Linked DNA regions of Drosophila melanogaster. The gene in region 1 interacts genetically with each later gene. Each region holds a gene or a part of one and is shown in the gene's direction. Other genes may lie near its edges.

Region 1 (7,682 bases):
GGATGCAGTGGTACAGCTGGTGGTGGAAACCAGCCTAGTCTGCTCGACCTCAAGTCGCTGGAGATTGCCGAACAGATGACGCTGCTGGATGCGGAGCTGTTCACGAAGATCGAGATACCCGAAGTATTACTATTTGCCAAAGATCAGTGCGAGGAGAAGTCGCCCAACCTAAACAAGTTCACCGAGCACTTCAACAAGATGTCCTACTGGGCGCGCTCCAAAATCCTGCGCCTGCAGGATGCCAAGGAGCGGGAGAAGCATGTGAACAAGTTTATCAAAATCATGAAGCATCTACGCAAGATGAACAACTACAACTCGTATCTGGCGTTGTTGTCGGCCCTCGATTCGGGTCCCATAAGAAGGTAGGTTCTACTGGCCCACTGAAGCTATTGATATACCATTGATATGTTGATATACCATGTCCTGCAGATTGGAGTGGCAAAAAGGCATCACCGAGGAGGTGCGATCATTCTGCGCCCTCATCGATTCCAGCTCCAGTTTTCGCGCCTATCGACAGGCGCTGGCCGAAACTAATCCGCCCTGCATACCCTACATGTAAGGATCTGATCTGATGTTTCTTTTTTTGTTAGAATCACGAAAGCCAAAGCTAATTATCAATTCGTTCGTTCCAGCGGCCTAATTCTGCAGGATCTAACGTTTGTGCATGTGGGCAACCAGGACTACTTGTCCAAGGGCGTCATAAACTTCTCCAAGCGCTGGCAGCAGTACAACATAATTGACAACATGAAACGTTTTAAGAAATGGTAATTATCAATTTTCATTCAATTATAATCACTTCTTTCACTTCACTTCACGCAATTTTCTTTTTCTGCTGCAGTGCCTATCCATTTCGACGCAACGAGCGCATTATACGCTTCTTTGATAACTTCAAGGACTTTATGGGCGAGGAGGAGATGTGGCAGATATCGGAGAAGATCAAGCCGCGTGGACGCCGCCCCGTTAACTATTAGTCTTCAAGCAGCAACAGCAAAACACCAATATTATATATGATAAAGTATATACACCGTATTAATTAAACAGTTCAAAACGGTTGCCACGTCTAGGAGGAGGATCAGCATCGGGAGCAGCCAACAACTATTCTAATGGGTCTGAGCAATAATGTTCGCTATTCTCTGTCTATATATATACAATTATACAAGATATTTAGCTGTAATTACCAGCCGATGCCGAATCGGAAATACATATACATACTTACTTAAGATGTAGCGATTCAGATACGGATACGGATACATGTAGCCGCGTACAAATAACGAGCCGATCTGTAGTTTAACTATTAAGCTCTATGAGTCATTGGGTCGATGGACCTAACCTCAGCTAACTCCCCACCAATATTCGAATCCGAATCCCTGTCTGCGAGTCCCAAAAACTTTTTCCCGGACTTTTGCCAGCACTAGAACACCAAACTAACTAACTAACTTACTTACCACCAGAGACAACCAATCAAGAAATCAGCAATTTTCGCTTTTGTTTTGAGATCTCTTTTTTACACAAGAACACAACGAATTTTGAAAGCAAGCTACGTGAACGTAGAGGCCAACCGACAAACTATATTCGACGATATATGTAGCGATATCTCGGACTATAAATCGATGCAATCCACGAGCAGAACACCAAGCGAACCCTAGCACAAAGCGCGTTATATGCAATTCTCTCTCCAAACAACCAATATTAAATACCCGTGTGTGTGTATGTGTGTTAGAAGTTATTCAAATTGAAATTGAACTCAAAATCAAAATCAGAGATTTCAGAGTGCACGAAACAGAAAACAGAAGGCGGTATCTATCGATCAAATCAATCAATCAATGAAATCAATCAAAAATTCATTTTGCGACTCAATTAATTGAAGAAACTTTTAAAGTTACAAAACAAAACAAAATACAAAAAATACAAAAAAAAAAAAAAAAACAAAAAAGGCGAGGAACCTGTGGAAGAGATTAACTAAATTCAATTTGCTTTTAAATGTACGACTAACATTAAAAATATTTATGGGCATGTAATAATAGTTCTAAATAACGCTTTGACTTCTCCTTTCAATTCTGTGAGGAATAAATTTATTGATATTGCGTGTAAAAATATTAATCATGAGAAGAAATCTGAAAGCAGAGTTAAAACTGAATGAAATCGACCTCAAGTTGTTTTTACTAAGCAATACTCTGTCTCGTCTGAGAATAATGTCTTCTTATTTAGAAATGGGAAACAGAAAAAAAGGCTGCTTACTTGAAGAATTTAATTCCCGATCACCATAGCCATTTTAATAAACAAAAAGAAAAGTCAATTTTTTTTTTTAATTTGTGTTGAGTGAATTCGATCTTCTTTTTGCTGCTGCTTCCGCTGCCGCTGGCGCATCAATTGTGTTTACTAAGCTAACGAACCTAGGGACAACAATTTATTCTTGTTTTTTTTTTTCACCTATTTTTAAATTAAATATTTTGTATATGTAGAGAAAATTTTCAATTGTAAATGTATTTGTATTTAAATGTTATGTGTGTATTCATAAGAATGAAAATAGCTACCACAATCAATGTATTTTTCCTTTATCTGCAAAACGCATTTTTATTGGGGAAAAGGAACATGGGCTACGTTGCTTTCCAGAAGTCATTGAAATAAAAACAATTGTCGAAATAGGATTTTTCCTTATTGTACGGCCAATAAACACATATGACTATTTAAATTCGAAATAAAAATGTTCGCATTTTCGATAAGGGTGTAAGTCATCGAAATTTTCGATAAAATTACCGTTTCCATGTTTAAATATAGTTAAATGGGAAATTTAATTTTGAGTTTAGTGGGGCATGGCATTCTAATATTGTTCAACTCTCTTTGTTGCTATCCAAAAGAAAACTGATTATATTTTTCAAAAAATTTCAAAAATTTAATAATTTTGAATGGGCTTTTTCAATAACTTAGCCGAAAAGAGTGGCACTGTTTTGTACGACTTGTAAACAGACACATTCGCATTTATAACAGAGCGTAATGACAATTATTTAATTTTGTATATATAGGATTTATATCGCCAAAAATCTGGGTATGAACTTTGGCCAAAAATCGATCATTTGTAGCGGACGATGTTTTGGGAAAAAAATCAAATTAATTATTTAACCCATTTTTTTAAACAATTAACAATCTGCCTTTGATACAAAGAAGCAGTTACTAAATTTAAATTGTTTAATGCTTTTAAGAGCGAGGTTGCGGCTTGAAGCGGTTTGAGAGAATTGTTTGAAGGTTCGAGAGAGGCAACCGCAGTAGTGATGCCAATTTGGCTATTTTTTTTTCTGTGCAATACAAAGCGCCATTAGATTTTATGTCCTCACCAAATACCAATACTCAGAAGCACTTTTGTATAAATAAACTATGGCCAACTGGTTTGTAGAGTTCAACGAATGCATTGGAAGGTACGTACTTTCTATCAACAATTTTCCAAAATAATCATAATTTATTGTACAGTTCTATACGCGCCTAATTTTATGACAGTCATTTCATTAATACTTAATATTCGATGGGAATTTAAGGGGAATTTGGCAATTAAGCGTCATGTGTTCTTCCTTTCTTTTTAGCAGAGCGATCCGATCGAGGGAGCGGGCATCACTGCGCTGCGATCGAAACGTTCGCCGGTTTTCGTTGGTTTGTTCAGATGAGCTCAGGAGCTGCAGTGCGACGGTCGCGCCACGAAACTTTGCGGGATTTTTCAAGTGTCGAAACCGACTCTTTTCGCGTTTGTGTTCAAGCCCCAAAGGAGCTTTCGAGCCAACGAAATACGTGCAAAGTTTAAGGCTCATGTAAATCGGAACATAAAGGACCAACAAATCAAGCTTTACTTGTTTTTTACACCCTTGTATTTTGTCAACGAAACGACTGTTTGTTTTTTTTTGTTTCAAGCCGGCGACAGCCAACGAGTACGTAAAGTGTGCAAATTTGAAATTGAAAACTAACCTGTGATCCTAAGTTTATGTGATTGTTGTGAAAATATTGCTAGACATGCAGAGTTTTAATCTCGCACTAGCGCAATTTTGTGATAAGAACTAACTAAACCGCTGAAGTGCGAAAGCACTTGCATATTTTTTACCCATATCAATGGGTATCTCACCTGGCCATTCAAATCACCTTGCTCGATTGATCGAAAGATCGAGAGTTGATGTCCAGATTGTAGGCTTAAGTGCAATTGAAAACGGGCAGAATTTTGCATGTGAGAAGTGCACAGATATAAAACCAAAACAGATAAGCTAAATTAGCGAATATAACTTTTTCGCAGGCAGATTCTTGATCTTAACTTTCCCCTAACGGAATGATAGTTTGGGCCATTTCGAAACTAAACTGATAGTGCCAAGATTATTCGAAAATTTGTCGTAAAACTAATACCCAAGTGCCAAAGCTACCGAGGTATGTAGGGTATCTGGGATGCCCGCTGGTCGGCTGTACTTGACATGTTCGTTTTGGCGCGCTCGAAAGGCGTGAAAGTCATTGTCCAACGTTGGCCATTTGATTGCCAGCTCCTTGGAGCTGTATGCTGGATGCGGCGATCTGCGAACTGGTAATGAAGTGGACTGCAGTGGAGTGGAGTGGAGTGGAATGCCTGACTCTCCAGCATGCATACATATAGACACACGATCGCCTCATCGGAATCGGAATTCTGTGGCTCTCAAGTAGCTTCTGCTTCTGACTTTGCTGCTTCTTCTGCTTGTCCTGATGCCCATGCTGCCGGTTGTCCGGCAGCCTGCGTGTCTCGCTGCGCTGCCCCCTCTCCAGCTCCGCGTCCACCAACCTGAACTTCAACTCCAACTCCAACCTCCACCTCCTGCGGCACTTGAGTCCACTTGGAGACAGGCGTTTTTATCCGCCTGTTGTCTGGCTCCCCTCCTTCTACTTCTACCCCTCCTCCTCCCACTCCCTTTTGCCACTCAATTGGTGATCGTTATCATCAGTAGGAGTAGCAACCAGGATTAATGGGCTGCGCCAGTCTAGAGCATCACGAATAGGCCAACACCCTCTAGGTCAGGTGTCACAGCTATGACCTACACGGAGAAAATAATAATCTTAGAAATTAGGCATAATAACCTTGAGCTGATGCACTAAAATCCAGCAGATACTTTTGTATCTTATATATACTTTTGTATCTTATAGATACTTTTGTATCTTATAGATACTTTAATATCTTGTAGATACATTTGTTCCTACAGATACTTTTACTTTTTCTTAAAGTAAAACACACATGAATGCTCAAGAAACAATATGCTTCCAATTGGCCAATGTCCAAACACTTGATGGGTATTTAGCAAGTCGACTGTGGCCGTCCTGTCTGCATTATTTGCCCAAGGTGTTTTTGTTGGTGTTTCACACAGTCGCTTGGTGTTACTTTGTGTGTGCCAGTGTGAGTGTGTCGCTGTTGTTTCATTAAGCAAACAGAGCTGCAAGTGCCACTTGTTGCTGTTGTTGTTGTTGTTGTTGTTACTGGACATCATTTAAATCGGTAGCCGGGAAAGTATGTAACTCTCCTCACTCGCTCATCCTTGCTCATCTGGCTTGCTCTTTCATTCGAAATCCTTTTAGCCGATGACTTTGTCTTTTTGAGTCAACAAATTGCTTGTACTCTCTATACTACACAGGGAGAAACATATGATATGTTTGGATATTTTCAAAGCACTTGATCCTGATATCTGATCTGAGCAAATTCGTATGTACTTATATATCTGTAAAATAAGCCTAAGATATCCAAAAAATATTGTGTAATATCTCGGTTTCGACACATTTGTTTTGGATAACTACTGCATGGGTAATTTGGAATCGATAGGGTTTCTTTTCTCGGTGTATGTCATTTTTTACGTTGGGATTGTTTATGAACAACTTGCCTCTCGCTTGCACCTGCAGTACACCATTAATGGCTGGCTGTGAGTGTGCGATTTCCAGTGCCTCTCCTCCGCCCCCACTTCCTTTTCCAGTCTCAGTTCCATCCCATCCCATCCGATCCCACTCCACTCCGACTCCAGTCCACTCCAGTCCAGTCGAGTCCACTCCGCCACTCCAAGGGGCAGCTTCTTGTTCTCGTTGTGTTGCCTTTTGTCGTACCTTGTGTGTGTGTTTGGGTTCTTTAATTTTTTATTTTCACGTCTCATCGTCGAGTATTTGTTGTTGCCCCTGTGGATGCTGCTTCTTTATTTTCTTGGTAATAAGGTGTGAGAAAGGCAATAATCGTAAAGAGCTAACAAATTGTTGTTGTTGCGCTGCTGCCGTTCCTACTTTGATTGCTACTGCCACTCCACCTCCTCCATCTCCTCATCTCTCTTCTTTCACGCTAAAATGTTAATCTGTCCCTTTTCCTCCAGCTGAAGCAATTATATCGTTGACGACAGCACTAACAATGCATGGCCATCTTCATCTTCATTCCATCGACCTGATACGGTGTTTGATAACCACTTCCCTGCACTGCACCTGATCCTCTCACAACCAAACGAAGGGAAAGTAACAGACACGCGAATTCTTCAGTCCAACAGTAGTTGAGTGCTTGCTAACTGCTCAGTGTAATGGTGAAAAGGGGTTAAGTTAATGCTTATATAGATATATATGTTTATATATATACACTTTACACCTTTATGAATATCTCCCTATTAATTGCACGCTGACTAAGCTTTCCTCAGCCTGCGCTGCGAATGCGCCTTAGCTGGAAATTCCAATTCTGATTCGGACTTAGATTGACCATGAGTGGGATTATCTATGCGCCGGTGCCGGCTATCGCCATCATGTGCTTCCTTATCGGCCGACCGACCATTAATTAGCACGAAATAAAAATAATTTCAAAACAAAGCGTGAACATCGTATTTATAGGAAATCGAGGTCTGGCCCGGTCCCGATCCCGAGATCCCCACACGATCCCGATTTCGAATCCAATTTCAATTCCAATCTGTGATGGCCATATGACGTTCCCGTTTATGTTCTACATACATATATTTATATTGCGTTGTAATATGCCAGCTCCATGAATTACTTCCGCCTACGATTTCTTAACCACTGATTCAATTACTATCTGGATATACACATCGGATATATTCATGCATGCACGCTGGGCATCCACAAGAGCAATTAGTTCACTTAACGAATTCATTTCCCAGGGGCCGTTTTGCAGATAAGTTTGGAGTTGGATTTCGGTCTTGCTGCCCGATGATCCCAGAGCACAATCTTCGAGAGTCCGAGCCCTTTGAGTCGCTGGACGATGTCATTATCTCCAAGTAATTCCTCATAATCGCCATGTTTGATCTTATTAAGACAGCTTAACTTGTTTTCTTGCCCATCATCGTCGTTTGCCCTGTCCCCGGATCTCGAATCAACCCATTCATACGTGATGGACGGGACATGGACGGACAATGCTCGATCGATCGCTTGTCCAGTCAGTGGTGCTGTGAGTTTCCTCAGTGATTTCTTCAGAGCCCTATAGAGCTTGGAATTGGAAATTGGAAATCTTAATGTGAAAGCCAGCCAACCTGCTCTCAGATAAAGCCACTTTTAAGCTAGGCTTTTAGATGATGCGAATTTTTTACTCATGTGATAAGATATCTGAATAAGAATTTGTATTTTAAATGGCCAAAGAAAAAAGGTCAAAGTGTCATCACTGGGTCTCTTTTGTCCGTTCACTTGTTGGCCGTGTTAAACGTCTGGCTTCTGGCTGTCCGGTC
Region 2 (7,846 bases), on another chromosome or scaffold:
CTGTCGATGAAGAACCGCACTTTACATCCTGATTGTACTATGTGCCCCCATTCGGCTTCAAGACCCAACTCCTTAATCCTTGCGATTGATTAAGACCGAAATGCAGCTCAGCAATTGTCAATGCAACTGCAACAACACACACAATACAATTGAAACACATATAGAAGCAATAATTCGACCCATCAGGTAACTCCTCCATTTGGCCACTTGGGCTTTTTGCCTGACCGCATTCAGTTGGTGGAGACACCGGCCGGCAGTTCTTGGCCCTGCTGCTGCCATTACCAATACAGTCATATTCTACATCGGCACGGTGGGTGCTTCTGGCCCCCTCCCCTCACGAGGACTAACCCCCTTCTGGGCTGTTAGCCAGGCTTTTGTTTTTGTGTACTTGAGAGAGCTACATTTTGTGTGAGAGGATCATGCGCGCTACACGTTTCATGTCCATTATCCTGGATGAAGGCCCATGTCCACAAACTTATTTCGATTTCAAACACAATCGATTGTTTGGCAAAATATCAGGCTATCGTAGTTTTTGATATTTCCGTTAAGCTAGGGAATAACCAATATATGTTACATTTAGAACTATGTATTTTAACACAAAAAAGTTATCGAATTTATAAGGATAAATATTAAATAATATGACTTAAGGAACAGATATGTTAGTTTTGCTGATTTAAATCTTATTGCAGCGCAAGAAATGACAAATATTGTCTTAAAAACATTGAATCATTTTTAAAAGTCGTTAAGTATCTGTTCAATAAGTCGGGCTTAAATGATTCCAATTTTTAAATGGCAAAATATTATGAAATGATCTGATACATACGATATATGGAGTTAAAACTATTCCGTTACCGATCAGTTCTTCCATTGATAGGCTTTTCATTTTTATTAGGTTTTCACCCTTGCAGAGGGTATATGGATATCATTAAGAAGTTTGCAACGCAGTGATGCAGAAATTTGTGACTATATATACATATATTAATGATCAGGGTGAACAACTGAGTCGGTATAGCCATGTGCGTCAGATATGGTGATATATTTCCGACTCCAACAGTTAATACAATTTTATTATTTATAAGATCGGGATATCGGGATAGAAATCATAGTGTTGTTGTTATTGATCATAAACTATCACTGATAATTAATGCAAGGACATTTAAGCTTCGGCTTGCTGAATACAGCTTTGATTAGCTTCAATTGGTTAAATAAGCTTTTAGTTACAAAAGTGGACGATTTCAACTAAACGATTATTTTTAGTAGCTTATTTATAGCTTTAATTCTCTGTAAATATGTATAACAAAAATATTGTAAGTAAAAAAAATCCATTTATTTTGCAATTACACATTTTGATTTATATAGTGATCTATTCGGTTTTAATATAATTTCGCCGAAGTATTCTAGAAAAGCGACCTTTAATAAGCAACCGAAATACTTTGCGATCCTTAACGCTTAAATGGGCGTCCGAAATGAAGTTCGTTTCTGGCATATAGCTGGGTATAAATTTCGAGTTAACTGTAAATCCCTTTGCGTAATACCGTTTATTCTAAAACACAATTTCCAAAATACGATATTAGAGAGTTTTATACAATTTCTTACCAGTGTTAATTACCATTTTCAACGGACATTGTATAGGAAAATTGGCGGTTTCGCGAAGCTGCGTAGTAACCATTCTAAATAAAAAATGATTTTCCACACTTGATAGCATCTGACAATAGTCTACATGTGAAGAGGTAAAATTCGTCACGTATGAACCTCTCTTAAATGTCAAAATGTAAATGCCCTTCAGGTCCTCAACATCTTGGGTTAATATGAACTCTGCGTATATTGAACCAGTGGGGTGGGAAGTTTCATTTAAGTAGCAGCTTACGTTTCTCACCAATTCTGGCATATAATTGAGGCACTCAATTTTCGTCATAAAAACTTCTTTCTATACGTTGAGATAGGTTAATGTAGTAGGACTTACATATATGATTCTATACTACTGACCTCTGCACGAACACTGCTCAAGATTAGGGTCCCCAGAATCAGGTCAACCAATATAAAAAGCTTTTTGACGTTCATACTAGTGGATAACTAATTGAAGACTAAAATCTAATGCATTTCAAACGCACGTAGGTGTGTATATTTTAAAATAAATGGGTTTTTAATGTGCTCAATTAGTGTATTACCTAATTTGTAATTGCTTATTTTTGTTGATAGAACATTAATATCGGTAAATTATTTGGACTTTTCAAGTTGGAGATGCGCAAAGTACTAATAGTATAAAATAATACTATAAAATTATTATATTATAATATATTATAATATTATATTATAATAATTAATACGGATTAGAGTGGGAGATCTGAAACAAATTTGCACGAATATGAAGCATTTAGAATCAGCTTAATAATAGTTTTCTAGTAATAACATATTGAAATAATTTGTATTCTTAAAAAAGAAAAACGGGTTTAAGATGAGTGATGATTTAGCTAGAACTTATACGTTTTCTTTATTTTACTGCGAACGCGATTTTACTGAATATAATTTCTATCAAAGCCCTTGAAGTAATTATCTTGATACCTATTAATTCTTCTTTAAATGGGCTATCCATACTATTACGCATTTATATTTAATTTATTTTTGATTTCTATGACTAATTTCTTGGTTAGATTCAGGACGATTTCATCATATTTTGAATAAGTGGTGCGAAATTACTTTTTTATTGGTCCATTCGACCAGTCTAGCATACAAAATATTTTCGTTAATAACATTGCATAAATTTATAGCTCTAATATATTTTATAATGACTTATTTATTTTGCAGAAACTTGTTTCAAAAAATTAACGTTTGGTGATTCGTTTGGTGATTACGTTACGTGATTCCGGGCAGGCCTTACGTTTCACGTAGCTCTGTTCCGTTTACCAAATCGTTTCGCGAGCTTTTTGGACCGGCGCATTTGTAATTCCATCTCTCTATTTTTCCTCCCCCGCATTTCTTAATCGTTATCGCTCTCTCTCTGCGAATTTTGCAAAACAACGGCCGGCCGTTTGGAAAAGTCGGAAGAAAGTCAGTTGGCAAGTGGAAATCACCGGAAAAACTACACAGCGCGGCAGAAGGAAAAACGTGAAAATCGCAGACGCTTACACCGCAGACGGGAAATAAAAAAAGCCAAAAAGCAGCCGCGAAAGGCAGCGCAGTCGACGTTGGCAGCGCCGAGGGCTGATAACAATAGTTAATAACAATAACAAAGCGGAATAAAAACAAAAGAGAGAAGCACATGAAAAGATAATATGTAAAAACCGAAACAAACAAAAAATCGCGCGTTTAATTAACGGACATACGACGTGAGCAGCGCGGTCGACGCCGCAGTCGCAGTTGGCGTCGCAGTCGCCGTCGCGCATTGGTGTGTGTTTGTGTGAGTGTGCGTGAGTATCTGTGTGAGCTGGAGATATAAAACTGCAATTGATTGCAATTTCGGCGGCATTTGCAAAATAGCAAGCCGGCGAAGAACACAAAACCGAGAAATCGAGAGATCTGCAAATAAAATATACAAACAAATAAAAATATATTAGTAATAAACTTATACAAAAACACAACAAATATAAAATCAGCACAACAAAAACACAGCCAAACGGTAAAGATACGAAAAAGCTAACTCATTTGTGTATCTAAAATAATAACAAAAAGCAATTCGAAAATGAGTACTTCTTGCATTTGTGTGAGCGCAGCTGTTGATGAAAGTGAAGGAAAATCATTCACATTTTCTACGGGAAAATGGGAAAGACAACAACAGCCACACACTCACACAGCTGCAAAAGAAAAGAGAGCACAGAGAGCTAAACTCAGACGACGCCAAGTTCTTTTTTTCCGCTTTTCCGTTGTTTGCATTTTATTTTTGTTTTCTGTTGTGTTTTTCGCACACAGGGAGGAAAACTCAGCCACTTATAAGTTTAAATTTTGAGTGTACACATCTTGTTTCAGTTGTTGTTTGTTTAAGAACATAAACTTTTTATAAATTCAAATGTTAAACGTAGATATTTCGACGTAGCTTTAAAGGACTAAATACTCTTTATATTGCTTTTTTTGCCCAGAATATAAAAGAATATATTTAACTTTACATAAGCTTATATTTCCAACAACGCTAAAAATACACTTTTTAACTTGTTGATTTCTTGACCATTTTTGTTAAAGTTTTTCGGAATTTCACATTTTTTTTATAAATGTAAGTTCGAATATTTATTTCTTTTTCCTTATTACACCTTATTACACTTTATTAAAGTTCATTCAAGTTCATTAACAAAGACAATATTATTTTTAATTAAAGTCTAAATTTGAACGATTTTTTTTGCATTTGTGGAATAATGTTGAAAACAATAAGATTGTTGTAAATAATCAATAAAGAATTGATCCAAGACAGGTCAATTTTTTTCTGTGTACATTTACGAGTCGAGTTCACAAGCCAGACAGCACTGTTGCTTTTGCTGCTGTTTTTGTGAGAGTATCTCATAGCTAGCTACCTAGCTGCAAAAAGTATCTAGATACTTTTGCCGAGTTTCCTACTCTTTTATCCGGCTGTCTGTTTATTGAGACGCGTCTTCAAGTTTTTTCCCCACATCATTGCATTCTTTAATTCCCTACATTTTAAATAGGAGCAGTTTCAGATGTTTCGAAATATTTATAAATATTTTCTTGCACTCGCATGTTGGCCGGCAGTCAAAGTAACACTCAACTTCAACTTCTGTCTGCGCACTCTAATTGAGTTAGTCTGGCATTTCAATGGGAGCAGCAAGCACACGCACCGCTTCTGGTCGAAAGGGGCGGAATGGTATTAGCAAGAAATGGGGGCGGGGCCGGGCTCCAGACTCAGCGGGTGGGAAATCCGGGGGGTGGCTCTTGCAGGGGTCACAGCCTAACCCGTGTGTTAAATTATGCAAAACGCTAAGGGAATGTCGAAGCAATAAGTGCAGAAATGTTTACATTCTCTGGCCAACGAAGAATATTATTCATATTTGCGTTTGGGTTAAATAAATAGGAAATTTGGTCATTTTGGTTAATTATTTTCCTAAATAATAATTAATTTTTGTTTCTTGTTATTTCTAATTATGCAATATTTATTTAGTTCTTTGAAGTAATGATTAAACCCAATCTTAATTTTAATTTCCCTCTACTTCCTTCTGATTGAGTGTATTAAATATTTCACTGAAATATTTTTCTTTTTCATTAATGCAAATGGCTTTTGAACTATTCCACACACCCACTGGTGTCTCATTTATATCTTCGCAAAGCACATTCATAAAAAAGGAACCTACAATTTCGCTCCAAACAACTTTTTTATCATAGCCCGGCTTACACGTACGAACACATATATTTTTGGGTATTTTAAAGGGTTAACACACGCTATACGACTGCCAAACTTTTCCACGTTGGCTTTTTGTGCTGGTCCTTTTATTTTGTGAAAATGTTTGGCATTTTTTGTATTAAATTGTCAGTGAAACGAGCGTTGGACCGTTTCCGAGGGGCATGGCAACAATTCAAAACGTGAACTGCCACTAAAACATGCCAAAAATCTGCGCATTTAAAATATTTGCCCCAGAGCCCATTGAGATCCAGCCAAGCGATGGATGGGCGGCGGAAGGGGAAAAGAGGAAAAATGCAGGCATTTTCCTGCGATTTGATTTAGTTGTTGTTGGCCGGGTTACACCTTTTCACTCACACCTGTCGTCTGTGTTTTTCTATTTTCAATTTTTTTTTCAGCAAACTACACGTCTGCGTTTTGGTTGCCCCCTGCAAGTCCTTTGTTTTCTATTTAATAGCTGTTTTAGCCACTTGCACGTGATCAACAATTAATTGGCAATATCTTTTTCAGGTTCGTCAAATCAAGCGGATCTCTCCAGCCAAAATAATCAGCAATCTGATGTAGCAAACGCCTATATATAGAATATACGAAAATGCAACCATTCCGTTCCGCGCCGTGCTAATGCAAACGTATACGATCCGAAACCGATAAATATAGAAATACAATAAACCCAAGTGAAATAGCAATTTTAAACGCCAATAAAAACAAAATATACCAATTACACTGCCCAAGAGAACATCAAAGGAACTCATTTTGGAGGTGAGTTATAACAACCATTAAACAATTATATGTCTATTATAAGGTATAAAATATGAAATAATAAAAAAGAGATTGCAAAGCTATTTCTTCTAGAAGAACTATAAATATTATTGCATTATAATTACATTCTACTGTAATGTAAAATGTACATGCGAAAACTTGAAAGATGATAATGTTTTTCCACACACACAAGACCGTACTTCTTGTTCCATCAAGTATTTCGAGCACAACTCTGCTTCACAGCTGGGTGTTGTTATTTTCATATGTTGATTGCCTATAGCTTTTCCTGGACTTCTGTTTATCGACTTCAATTTGCTCTAAAACACCGTACCCAAAACTCAATTGGAAATGCAGGAAAAGCCAGGAAAATGGACTCGCACACAGAGAGAGGGCGCGAGGAAAAAGCCTAGACGAAGGGGTCTGAGTATTCGGGGGATCGAGAGGGAACAGGGCATAATCCAGAAAACACCATTCAAGGGCAACTTTCACCAGCTTGCTGGATGGCCGAGGAGCGAATGGGGAGGGGTGAGAGGTCAAACCACCCGGTGGCAACTGCCCATCCATCGCTTAACGTCCTCGTCTGCCATTTTCATTTCGACCAGGGAAAACTCTGCCGCAGTGGTCGGCCGCATTGGCAGTTTTTGGGTCTCCACAGACATCGGACATACATCACAAGCCCAAGTTCAAATTTCCTACTTCCTCTTTTACGCCTCATCCCCTCCCCCGATCAGGACCTTTCCCCCCTACTCACCATCATCGCCTCTTGCCTTTTTTATGAGTGGCAAAATTGTTGTTATTTCTGCCGAGTTTTCCCCCAAAAAAAGGAAATCGGAAAAACGGCTAGAAAGTGTACTGAGGGAAAAAACGATGTCTCTCGTTCCAAATAATGTAAGATATGGCATTTGAAATAATATTTAATAACCACCGCTTAATAAATAATAGAAAATACTGATCGTGCCTAAATGTTGTTCATACATTTACAAATACTTAGCATATTTAGTTGCTAAAAAATATTTCAGTTTTTAAAAAACCTTTTATTCCCGTGTAAGCCAAAGAAGCAAATTTTTGAAAAATGCCTGCCAGCGGAAGAAGCAGCAGCAGCAGCAGGCGGAGGAGCGAAAGACGGTGGCAAGGACATGGAGTGAAAACAGTTGCCTCCGCCGTCGTCTGTCGCTTGACGTCCTTCGTCTGTCGCAGTCGCACCTTCCATTCCATTCCATTCCACCCAACAACCACCCCCAAAACGGCAAAGGCGGCATCCAAGTCCGTCGACCCGGGTTTTCCCACATAACGATGCAGCACCATCGGCTGCCCGAGAGGCGGGCGGCATTTTCAACAATTTCCACATTTTATCTAACCACCCCCAAAGTGTCGACTGCAGAATATACGTATATATAAAAAAAAGGGAAAATCCTGCGGGGAGAGCGCGACGGCACGGAGAGCGCGTTCAAAAGAGCGAAGAGAGTCTCCGGGAAATGGGGAAAGTCGGGGGAAAAGTGGGGAAAAGCAGACAAAGCGAGTGTAGACGCTGCAGACTTTGCTCTAGTGCTCCGTTGTTGTTATTTGCCATAACCTTGGCAAAAGGGGTAAACCGCTTTGTTGTTATTTTGAATTGAGCTCGGGACAGAGGCTTTTATTCGGCACCATTGTGAATAAGTTCTGAAAACATGGATTATTTTAATAGAATTATTGAAATAGTGATATATTTGATGAAATGAGATGAAAACTTGGGTATTTCCAGTTCCCAAA

What was found. Genes that interact genetically often act in the same process or in processes that back each other up.
Region 2: of shf (region 1) and fz2, changing one suppresses a phenotype caused by changing the other (phenotypic suppression), as found in Drosophila melanogaster (one study listed by BioGRID).

Annotation. Positions count from the first base shown.
Region 1 is NC_004354.4:6,775,643-6,783,324, reverse strand, and holds the start of shf (shifted), read left to right. Parts: upstream 1-3,665; 5' UTR 3,666-3,914; intron 3,915-7,682. Other genes in the region: C3G guanyl-nucleotide exchange factor, read left to right, coding at 1-362, 430-555, 633-764, 839-971. UniProt on the Drosophila melanogaster protein: Required for normal accumulation and movement of lipid-modified hedgehog (hh) morphogen. May act by stabilizing the interaction between heparan sulfate proteoglycans (HSPGs) and hh, HSPGs being required for diffusion of hh morphogen.
Region 2 is NT_037436.4:19,230,575-19,238,420, reverse strand, and holds the start of fz2 (frizzled 2), read left to right. Parts: upstream 1-3,047; 5' UTR 3,048-3,407; exon of another isoform or gene 3,408-3,616; intron 3,617-5,848; 5' UTR 5,849-6,097; intron 6,098-7,846. Other genes in the region: CG33647 (uncharacterized protein), read right to left, coding at 1,364-1,543, 1,610-1,927, 1,987-2,061. UniProt on the Drosophila melanogaster protein: Receptor for Wnt proteins.